Linked DNA regions of Sus scrofa. The protein of the gene in region 2 purifies or fractionates together with the protein of the main gene of each other region. This does not show direct contact. Links are inferred from orthologs where the notes say so. Each region holds a gene or a part of one and is shown on either strand. Other genes may lie near its edges.

What was found. The genes of interacting proteins can lie anywhere in the genome.
Region 1: the proteins of HDAC4 (region 2) and TBL1XR1 purify together in Homo sapiens (affinity purification with mass spectrometry; 3 studies listed by BioGRID and IntAct, with this or other methods). This does not show direct contact. The link is inferred for Sus scrofa from reciprocal best matches to the Homo sapiens genes HDAC4 and TBL1XR1.

What each region holds. Positions count from the first base shown.
Region 1 is NC_010455.5:115,316,409-115,321,405, forward strand, and holds part of TBL1XR1 (F-box-like/WD repeat-containing protein TBL1XR1), read right to left. Parts: intron 2,100-4,997; coding exon 1,998-2,099; intron 930-1,997; coding exon 903-929; 3' UTR 1-902. UniProt on the Homo sapiens protein: F-box-like protein involved in the recruitment of the ubiquitin/19S proteasome complex to nuclear receptor-regulated transcription units. Plays an essential role in transcription activation mediated by nuclear receptors.
Region 2 is NC_010457.5:138,654,014-138,659,577, forward strand, and holds the start of HDAC4 (histone deacetylase 4), read right to left. Parts: upstream 3,254-5,564; 5' UTR 3,168-3,253; intron 1-3,167. UniProt on the Homo sapiens protein: Responsible for the deacetylation of lysine residues on the N-terminal part of the core histones (H2A, H2B, H3 and H4).

The DNA.
Region 1 (4,997 bases), on a different chromosome or scaffold from region 2:
TCCCAAAAAAGAAACTATTGCATTTAAGCCACATCACCAAAACAAAACAGAAACAAACAACAAAAAAACCCAACCCCCCTAAAAAAAAAACAACAAAAAGCAACAGAAAACCCCCCAGAACAAAAAACAAAGCAAAAACAAAAACAAAAGCACAAAAAACAGCGCATAATACCCTTTTACTGATGTGTCTAACAGATTGACATGACCAAAGTCATATAGTTCTTTCAACTTCCAATTCCCCCTCCTACAACATGCACCAATTGAATATATGCTCTGGGAGCCATAAATGTACCAAACATCTATCTCTTCAAAACAATGCATTAAAATATTTTTAAGAATTTTTTGTTTAAAAGGTGAAAAAAATATAAACAAGAAACTGATTCACTCCCTTACTTCATGCATCCATAAACTAAACCAAAAACAAAGTTTAAAAGCAAGAACAAACTACTGCTGCAAGTTTTTGTAAGTCCGTATTCTCTGTACATACAAACTGCTAAACTACTGAAGGGAAAAAAAGAATATAATCCATGGTGTCTGCTGATTCAAAGGGGAAAAACAAGGCTGTCATTAGTATCCAAAAACTGGTACATGTATGGGCTGCTTTTATAACGCATACTTTTTCTCTCTTCTGTTTTTCATATCCAAAACTTCTAAATGCTATTTTAGGGGCACAGCAGATTAGATTCCAGCACTTGGTGAACAGAATTCACAAGCTGTGACAAAATTCTGTCATCTTCAGGGTGCAATTTTGTTTATATACACTGTATGTATATATTTCTCTTAGATTTGGCTGTAGTGGACTGGCCATGGTTCAAGTGGGACTATAGCAGTACTTGGGTCGGGGACAGTCATTTTGGCTATGTACACATTCATAGTCGGTCCATGGCTTCCAACTAGTAGCGCTATTTCCGAAGGTCTAATACACAAACCTGTAAGAAATTAAAATAATCAACCAGTGTGTAAAGAATTAATTCCATCGTACATTTTCAGTTTAATTTTTCTATAGTACAGTTTGGAACCTACTTCTTAGTTCCAAGTTCACCAACTGGTAAAACAAAAGTAATCATAGCAATGGGCATCAAGAGAAATCAGATAAATTGTTTGAAAGTAGATGGAGGAAATAACCATGGGCTAACACTAGAGAGGGAAAAACCAAGTCTAAAATTTTGAAGACTTAGTGTCTGTTAATGAAAAAGTAGAAAAAATATGTTCAAAATAGACCAATTTCTATCTCTTGGACCTTAATGAAAGATACTACAGATTATATTAAGCTACTGCCTCAGTAAACAACGAATGGTTACACTCTTTGTTTTCCCTTTACTTTCAGAATGTTGGAAGCCATTAACTAGTTTTCTGTAATGAATTGGCCAACCTCATCCTGACAGTCTCTCAGTATCACTCACTCCTCAATGCAGACTCTACTGCCTCTATTCCCCCTTTTCTGGGCAACCAACACTCTTCTGCAAGGAAGACACAATAGAAACAGTCACTAAAAATTCAAATCTCGGAGTTCCCACTGTGGCGCAAAGCAATCGGTAGCATCTCTGGAGCACCAGGACTCAGCCTGGCATAGTGTGTTAAAGTTACAACTGCGGCCTGGATCTGAGCCCTGGCCCAGAAACTCCATATGCCTCGGGGTGGCCCAAACAAAGAAACAAACCAATCTAGTATTAAAAAATACTTCAAATCTCTCTCAGAGTGGTATTCTGCTATATGTAATTACATTGATGAAAGTCTACACTAAAAATAAATGTCCATTTATTGATTATGAAGGCACTTTTTTGGCAAAGAGCTTAAATTCTGTTTATGTTATCTGAATTAAATGAACATGAGAAGTACAGAGCCTTCAGTAAAAAAGATCAATACCATATCATAAAATGCATCTTAAAAAGAACACTTTCGTAGTCACTACCACAATAAGCCACATTTATTCACTATGCTTCTCTCTCACACACACACACACACACACCCCTTTGGAAACACTTCATTGTACTTACTGAACCATCTGATGCACTGGCTCCAACCTTGTCTCCTGCTGCATTCCAACAAACTTCAAAAATTCCACCTGTTCCCCTATAGCTGTGAACAAGAGCACCTGTCTAAAATAATGAAAAGCAGAATCTTAAAAATGATAAAATACATTATTACATATGTTTAAATACTAAGATAGGAATATTACATGTCTTTATTTCCAACAATCCAAGATAGGATTTAGCTTCAATTGTGAAATAAGCACAAGTTTTGAAATACTAGAAACATAATATGATGATGCTTTTACAGAAAAATAACACTAGCCTGCTCTCAACAGATCATTCTATCTATACCCAGCCCTGCCCCCATACATCCAGTTTCTCCAGTATTAATAACCATTCTTAGCTAAGATGTCTTTGGCCTCTTTGACATCGTTAACAATGGCTAGAAGTAAACATTCTATGCAGGACATGAAATAAATTTTTGTTATTGCTGTTTAAATATGCATGAATATAGCAAACACAGAGAAATAAAATTGTCAGAATTTCTTTGACAAAACATCCTAAAGAGGAAGAAGTATAATGAACTAGTAAAGGCAATTCCAGTTTAAAAATGTTAGCTATTGCACATTTACTGAGTAGCCAGTCTCTAGGCTAGGAGAATTATTAAAGAAGCTAAAAGAACATATGTACACTGTTACACAAAGATGTTATAAATTAAAAAAAAAAGTACACCCAGAAACACTACCAATTTCATCAACTTAGCTGAATCATAACTCAATTATTTTATTTCTTCAGCAACAGAAACCAAAACCAATACACAAATGCATTCTCCTAGGAATCTAGTCATCACATAGGGCAAAAGTGAGAGGTTCTGATGTGAGAAACTGAAAAAGAATGAAAAATATGCTTTCGGTGTTCTGTCCTGACAAACCAGAAATATATCCCCCAGCTTCATGGTGACTGAAAAAATTCAAACTAAAAGTAGCAGAACTACCTAAAAACAAGGCAGCAAAACATGTATCTTGTAAATAACTTCTGTGACAGCCAGCCCTAAGTTAATCAGTAAACTGGAAAACCATTTCCCCCTGCTTTCTTCTTCAGAGTCAGTCTGGTAATACTGCAGAAATCACAAATGCACTGCTATAGCTGACCACAGCCAGGAAGGCTCAACTGCTTTACTTCCCCCCTACCTAGAATTTCTCACATTCTAAGAGATGAATGAAAAAGTATGAGTAAAGTATGTCTTAAGTACATAGAGTTAGGAGAGAAAGGAGTGGTTGCCAACAAAATCTAATAGAAAGTAAAATCTAAAGAACAGTTAACATACTAATACTTTCTTTTTACCAATTTCTAAGCTTGAATTAGGCTGTAATTGAACCAAAACAGCATGGTCAACAAGCCAGAGCTGTCACATTAACAAATACTAAAGGATCCTCAGCATCTACTCAAATCTGTGATCTATCAAATGCTTAGGTAACATATCATCCAAGTAATGAAAGAAAAAAACTAGATGTATATATGATAAAAACATGATGACTTTTTCTGCACTAAACATTCACAAGATGCATGTTACCATTTTCAAACTTAAAAGTAAAACGACACTGATTTACAATAGGGATACAACCAAACAGTATAGATAGTTGCTCAAATGCCCTTAAAAGTCTAGCAGTATCTTCTCTCAGAACTCTGTAGTTCAACACCCAGATTTACTTTTAACTTAATTTACTCAATGGAGTAAATGAGTGATGGAAAATGTATACAACAGACAGATTATCTGTAGATCATATCTAAGAAGCTTCTGCTATTCAGTCACAACAGGAAGATTACCTTGAAAGGAAAGCTAAGGAAATATAAACTATTAGAAGTAATTAGAGAGCTCAGCAGGGTTGATGAAGTCAACATTAACATGTCAAAATTCATGATGTTCCAAATGAGTAAACACCACTAAGTAACCACCAGCAAGTAAAGGAATATATTTTTTAAAAGATGCTATATTCGTGGTAACAATAAAGTCCATACGGCAACTCAGAATAAATTAAGAAAAAAGATATTTATGAAGAAATTATAAAACTTTACTAAAGGGGGAAAAAAAAGACTTCATGAGGGGGGCTTACAGACTTACAAAGTTACAGCTGTTAAAACTAAGCTAATAATGCAGGTACATACAAATGTATCAATCAATGGAATACAAGAGAATTTATGAACAAACCACCTAAGACTTAATGTGTGAAAGAAGTGACATTATGAAATAGAACTAAACTTCACACCATATACAAAAGCCAATTCTAAGGGAGTTAAAAACATAAAAGAAAAAAATTAAACCATGGGAGTATAAAATGAACGAATCATAATGCTTTTATTTACCAAAAAAACTCACCAAGAACGAAAGCAAAACTAGTAAAAGTTACCTGTAGAGGACCAAGAAAAAAACAGGAGCAAAACTTCTCAGTGTGTCTTGGCGCATGTGGGGCTCGGGGGTGGGGGGAGAGACACGGAGCAGTTGAAGACCATCTGAATGTATAACTTAATCAAAAATAGTTTTTAAAATGATGATTTACACAAAATAGGCTGATGAGTTATGATGGTCAACTGCACAAAGAGAAATAGCCCACAATAAATTATTATGTGTACACTTCAACCAGTAAAGATCTGATCTTCGTGGGGTGGGGGAGTGAACAGTGGCGCCAGGGAGAGTCACATGACTGCTATTAAAGAAACAGTACGTGGCACATAAAAACTGAAACACTGAGAAGATTAAAAATATGAAAGCAACAAGCAATTTCCTCCACTTTTAAGAAGGCATCTCTGTAGCACAGTCACTAAATAGGTAGTAGAGTTTTAAGTTTGTTTCTGATAAATCATGTGTTCAGTTACAAAACCTTATGCTTTAGTACATGTTCTTTTTTACTACTCATATATATTTCCTTCAGAGACAATTCTTTTAGAGAATGAGGAAATTATATCATTTATCTACATAAATGCATCTTAAATGCTCATATTTTATCTGCAAAATTGTTTAAGAAA
Region 2 (5,564 bases):
AATCAACCGCAGATCAGGTGGCACTGGAGGACTCACTGAAAAGAATCCGCGTGAAAGGGGACCCGTGCGGTCGAAGCCCCTGCTGTTGGAGCGTCACCTGCACATGATCTGCTCCGTGGGAAAGGGGAGAACCACGCTGATCCCCACATCTGCTGACCAGATGCCCACCGGTCCCCAGTGACACCGAGGGTCACTGCGGAGGCAGCACCTGTGGGGCCCTGGCCCTTCCTCCCGGGGAGTGAGCAGAAGGCTAGGAGGCGGGCCGGAAAAGGCATCAGGGACCACCCCGCTCCCCAAGCAGGCCCACCCGCCCCATCTCCCCACTCACACCAGCCAGGAGATGAAAAGGGCCGCGGGACCGGAGCTCCCGATCCTCGCTCGGTGACACCTCTCCCGAAGAAACGCCCGCGAACACACGCCCTGAGGTCTGTGAGCTGCAGCATCAACTTGACACAGGGCCCCTCTCTAACTTCAACCAGAAGATCCTCCACCTTCCTCTAGGTCAAGGCCAAAGCCCTGAGCCCCCTGCACGCCCCGGCACATCCTGACCGCCCATCGGGGACGGAAACCAAACCCCCTCCAGGCCAGACCAGCAGGGGCTGCGACCTGGTCCAGGGACCCGAGGCGCAGCCACAGCCCGAGGCCCCGCAGCCTCCCGGCGGCAGCAGTGGTCTTGCGCTCTCGGCATCTCCCTCGCTCCCTCCATCAGGCACTAATCTATTACTCATGGCAGTTTCTGAGTGATGAAAGCCCAGCCGTTTTCAATAGAGCACGGTATGGACGAATTCTGCAGGAGTGATGAAATGTTTCTTCTGCTCTGGCAATTAGGACGGCACAAAGTCGCCTGTCCCCGGTGCCACCCCAACATCAAAGGATGAGAATTCAAAGCCACTCATGCTGCATTGAAACCTCACAATGAAGCTGGAAAATGGAAGTCGATTACTGGACATAAATATGCAGTAGTTAAAAGGAAAGAGTTATAATGAAATTAAACTGCAGCAACCCCACGATGTGTGGAAACTTCCAGAACTCAAGGCCTCCTGGTAAACATGGAGAAGGGCACCCTCAGACAGCAGGTCTCCGACCACTGAGTCTGGACCTGCTCCCCAGCTGCACGTGGCCGGGGTGCCAGGCTGGTCTGTCCATCTTGCTACAGCAAGGGCCCCCACAGCCTCTGCGAACTGGGCATTTAGAGATTTTTTTTTATTTTGCATGGCTGTGAAGCTGCTGACCACAGAACATTCTCTCCTGGCTCACGGCTGCTCAGGCCACATCTGTCCTTGGTCCCCAGGCCTTCCAGGCCTACGTGCAGACCACAGTCACCCACCCCCCCACCCCCGCCTCCAACCTCCCCCATCCCAGGGCTCTCCCAGGGGCACTCGAGCTGCCAGGTCCCCTTGCAGGAGGAAGAACCAACCCTAAAGAGGGCAGTGTTACAACTGCCTGCGCAGAAATCCTGCTTCTTTTCTGATTGATTACTGCTCTCTTTAGGAAGGTTTCTGATCTTGAAAATAAAAGCCCAGAACACAGAAAGCTATAGAAGTCTAACAATGTGTCAGAGTGTGTGTTTTTAAGGCAGGAAAATACTTCCCTCCCACACAAATGTGAGTTCTGGGGAAAGATGCCACAGATCCCAGGGAGCAGAGTATCTGGGAAAGCTTGATCAGTCTTAAAAATAGACAATTGAACACAGATTTTAGAATTCTCAGGAGCTACCTGAAAAAAATTTAAACCCCACATATTTTTGATATCCAGAGCTCCATTCTGATGAAACTTCTAACAGGGTGGCATTTTGCATTTCCAATTATAATAGAGTAATTGTGTTGCCATAGTGACTGCAAAATTCTGCAATAACTTTTGTTGCTTTGTAATTGCTGTAGTGTATATTTGTGTACAAGCAGCTGAGTTTTCTTAATTCAATCTCTCGCCCTCCCCCCCCACCTTTCCTGGCCCGATCCTGAAACCACCACACCTGTGCTCACAGCTTTCATTCGCTTCACCGTCTCCGAAATAACGTACAGAATTATCAGAAGCAACGAAAACTCAAGGCAATCACGATCATGTTACAAAAGAAAAAGTGAAACCAGGCCAAGGTGCAAACCCACCAGAATTCCCATCCCGCTGGGCTGGCGCTGGGCGAGGGCTGTTTACATGTTTGCTCCCAGGCCTCTCATGCTTAGGTGGTTTGTGGGAATAAACAGAAAAGCCTGAGTAGAGAAAAGAGGGGGAAGCAAAGTAACTACCCAGGCCCTTTCCTCCCTCACCGAGGGCAGGCGGAGCTGCTGCGAGCAATTAGGTAGGTCTCTACAGTAATGCAATTAGGATTTAGTTAAGAAAGTCATTAGTTTTAAAATAACTTGAGTTTAATTTCTGCAACACTTTATTTGAAAATTGTGTCACAGCAGGTCAATTTACAACATGCAATAAAGCAAACACTCATATCAGCTGCTGCAAGTTATTACAAATTTTTGATGTGCATTAAATGAGTACACTGGGTCCCACCCCCGGCCTTTCCGACTGATACGCACGATCTCCTGCTAGAACAGTGTCAAATAATTCCACGCTAAATGTAAATACGAGATAATTTGCTTATAATTCCATGGTGTGTGCTTGCAACGCCCGGAAACGCGGCTCACATCCTCGGGGCAGGACGGGGCCACAGCTCGGCCTGTGGGAAGCCTGCGGGCACCCACTCGGGTCGTGAGCACCCCCACCCCTGCCGTTCCGGGCCGGGGCACACACCAGGCGACGGCGCACCCCGCCCGCGAGCCCCGCGGAGGGACGTTTTTCTGCAAACTCACAGCCTCGACAAAGTTACATAAACGGCGCCCGCCCGGGCTCGGGAGCCCCCGGCCCACCTGCCGAGGGCTCGGCCTGGACGGGCGCGGGCGCCCGGGGCCAGCCGGCCATCCTGCCCCGGCCGCGCGTCGGCCCTCGCCGGCTGGGGCAGCAGGGGAAGGTCCAGGACGGGTCCTCCCGCTCCGGACGCCCGCGGGCTGGCGCCACGCGCGGCCTGGGCGCACGGGCCGGGCCGGGCCGGCCGGCCGGGCGGACCCCGGCGTCCACCTGCCGGGGCCGGGCGGCGGGGGGCGTGGAGGCCGGCGGGCGGCCTGCGGGCGGGCGGGGGGTGGACAATGGCCCGCGGGCCGGGCCGGGGCAGCGCTTACCGCGGCGGCGGCGGCGGCGGCGGGCGCTCTAGCCCCGCGCGGGCGCTCCGAGCCGCATCTCCTCAGCCTGCGCCGCCACCACCACCGCGGGCGGCAGGCGGGCGGGCGCTCGGGCGGCGGCGACAGCGGGGACGCGGCCGCGGCGCGCCGGGCCCAGGCGGCTGAGGCGGCGGCGCGGGCGGGCGGGCGGCGGGCGGGCGCGCGGGCTCGGGCGCGGCGGCGGCGGCGGCGGCGGCGGCGGGGACGGTGCTCCGCGGCGGCGGCCCCACAACCTCCCCTCCTCATTCACAAAAAATTGACCCACGTTGAACCATGATGCTGCTCCCCCCTCCAGCACCGAGCGGGGCACTGATAGGCCACCGCCGACGCCCGTCAGCCGCCCCGGCCCCGCCCCCCGGCGGGCGGCTCTGCAGCCGTTGGCTGCGGCGGCTTTGCATCACCTCCCCTCGCGGGCCCCTCCCTCCTGCCGGGTTTCTAATGAAGAGCTCGTCAATTACGGCTCGGCCCCGCCCTCCCCGGGAGCCCGGCCGTCCTTCCATTGGTCCGCGGGAGCCCCGGGTACCGCCCCGTTTGCTCCCGCCCCTCGGCCAGCGGCCGCCAACCGCCAGGCCCGACGCCCTACGAACGGCAGGGATGCTCCACCCCTACCCGCCTTCTCCGGTACGTCCTGGTTCCTATTGGCTGCCGGAGCTGCCAATCCCAGGGGCGGGGCTATCAGAGGACGCTCCAGGCGCCAGCCGCTGGGCGCTTGGCGGTTGGGAAAGTGGAGAGAGCCCGGGCTTGTGGTGACTGTGAGCAGGGCAGGGGCTCTGGCGAGCTTCACTCTCCGGCCCCCCCGAGAGCTGCCCACGGTGGCTTAACAATCATGACCGCGGGCCTGCCCGCCTAGTGGGCGCAGACCGGGGCGGAGGCTGAGGCGGGGAGCGGGTTAGGCCCGGCCACAGCCTCCATCTTGGGTACTGGCAGTGGTCACGTGGTGGTGCCGCCTCCCGGAGGCGCAGGGGCGGCGCGAGAGGCGAGTGCGCAGGCGCAGCGGGCCCCGCCCTGCCCCGCGGCGGGAACGCGGCCTTTGGGGCTGGGGCTGGGCTGGCCGGCCTTCCCGCGGGCGTGGGGCGGGCGCAGCGCGCCTGCGCGGCTGGGAGGGACGGGGCGGCTGGCTCGCCGGGTGGTCCCAGCCGTGTCCGCCTCGCTCGACTCCGTCGACCAGCCCGTCTGCCTTGGGTGCTCAGTGTTTGAGGGATGCCGTGCTGGGGTGGTTTGTGCTGTCAAGCGGCCGCATGGGGCTTCGCGGAGGCCCTCGGAGACCCCTTGGGCCGCCCACCCGAAGGGCGTGGCGGGGTCTCCGGCGACCACCCCCTGGTCGTTTCATTTCCCAGCCTCGGTGCGCCTAACGTTTTTCAGAATCCCTGCTCTCCACCTAGTGAGGGAAGCACTGAGGGTGCGCGGATGCACGAGCTGAGAGCCAAGATGAGTGTTGAGACCTGGAGTTCCTGGAGGATGGCATCGTGAGAGAATGAAAGACTCAACAGTGGGTTCCAACTGCAGCACTTGGAGGTCCTATTTATGAAACACTTCCTTTAATAAGAGTGCTGTATGCAGTCCAAAGGGTTCTAGAATTAATTTGCTTCCATGAAACTTTATACCTCGCTGGACATTTGCAAACCTCTCAGGATGGTTCACAACCAAACACGTGACCACTGCTCAAAAAAACGTGAGCTCTAATAGCCAAATTTTGTTAAATAAGTTGTCTCTTAACCAAAGCAGCTTTTTTTCCTAGAAAGTAGAATGCGGGGTCCTCGTTTAAGAACTGCGTCCAGGAGTTCCCGACATCGCTCGGCGGTTAACAAATCCGACTAGCATCCATGAGGACACAGGTTCCATCCCTGGCCTTGTTCCGTGCGTTAAGGATCCCGCGTGGCCGTCAGTTGTGGTGTAGGGTGCAGATTTGGCTCAGATTCTGTGTGGCCAAGGCTGTGATGTAGGCCAGCAGCTATAGCTCCGATTCTACCCTAGCCTGGGAACCTCACTATGCCCCCAGTGCAGCCCTAAAAAAGCAAAAAACAAACAAACAAAAAAAACCCCAAACAACTGCATCCAAGGAGTTCCCACTATAGCCTCTCCGATTAAGCCTGGCATTGACTCTGGGGTCAGAGCCACAGTTTCTGTGCCTGGCCTGGGAACTTCCATATGCCCCAGATGCGGCCAAAAAAAAAAAAAAAAAACCTGCCTCCAAGAGTTTATTATCTTCAAATACCAAACTGCCCTTGTTGGACAGGCTGTATAACATGAACCTGGAGGCCAGAGTTGCGCTGAAGTGCGCATGAAGTGACACAGCAGGTCTGACAGAGCAGGAGCCTTACCTGTCTGGCGAACTTGGTCATGAAAGAAGAAGAATCG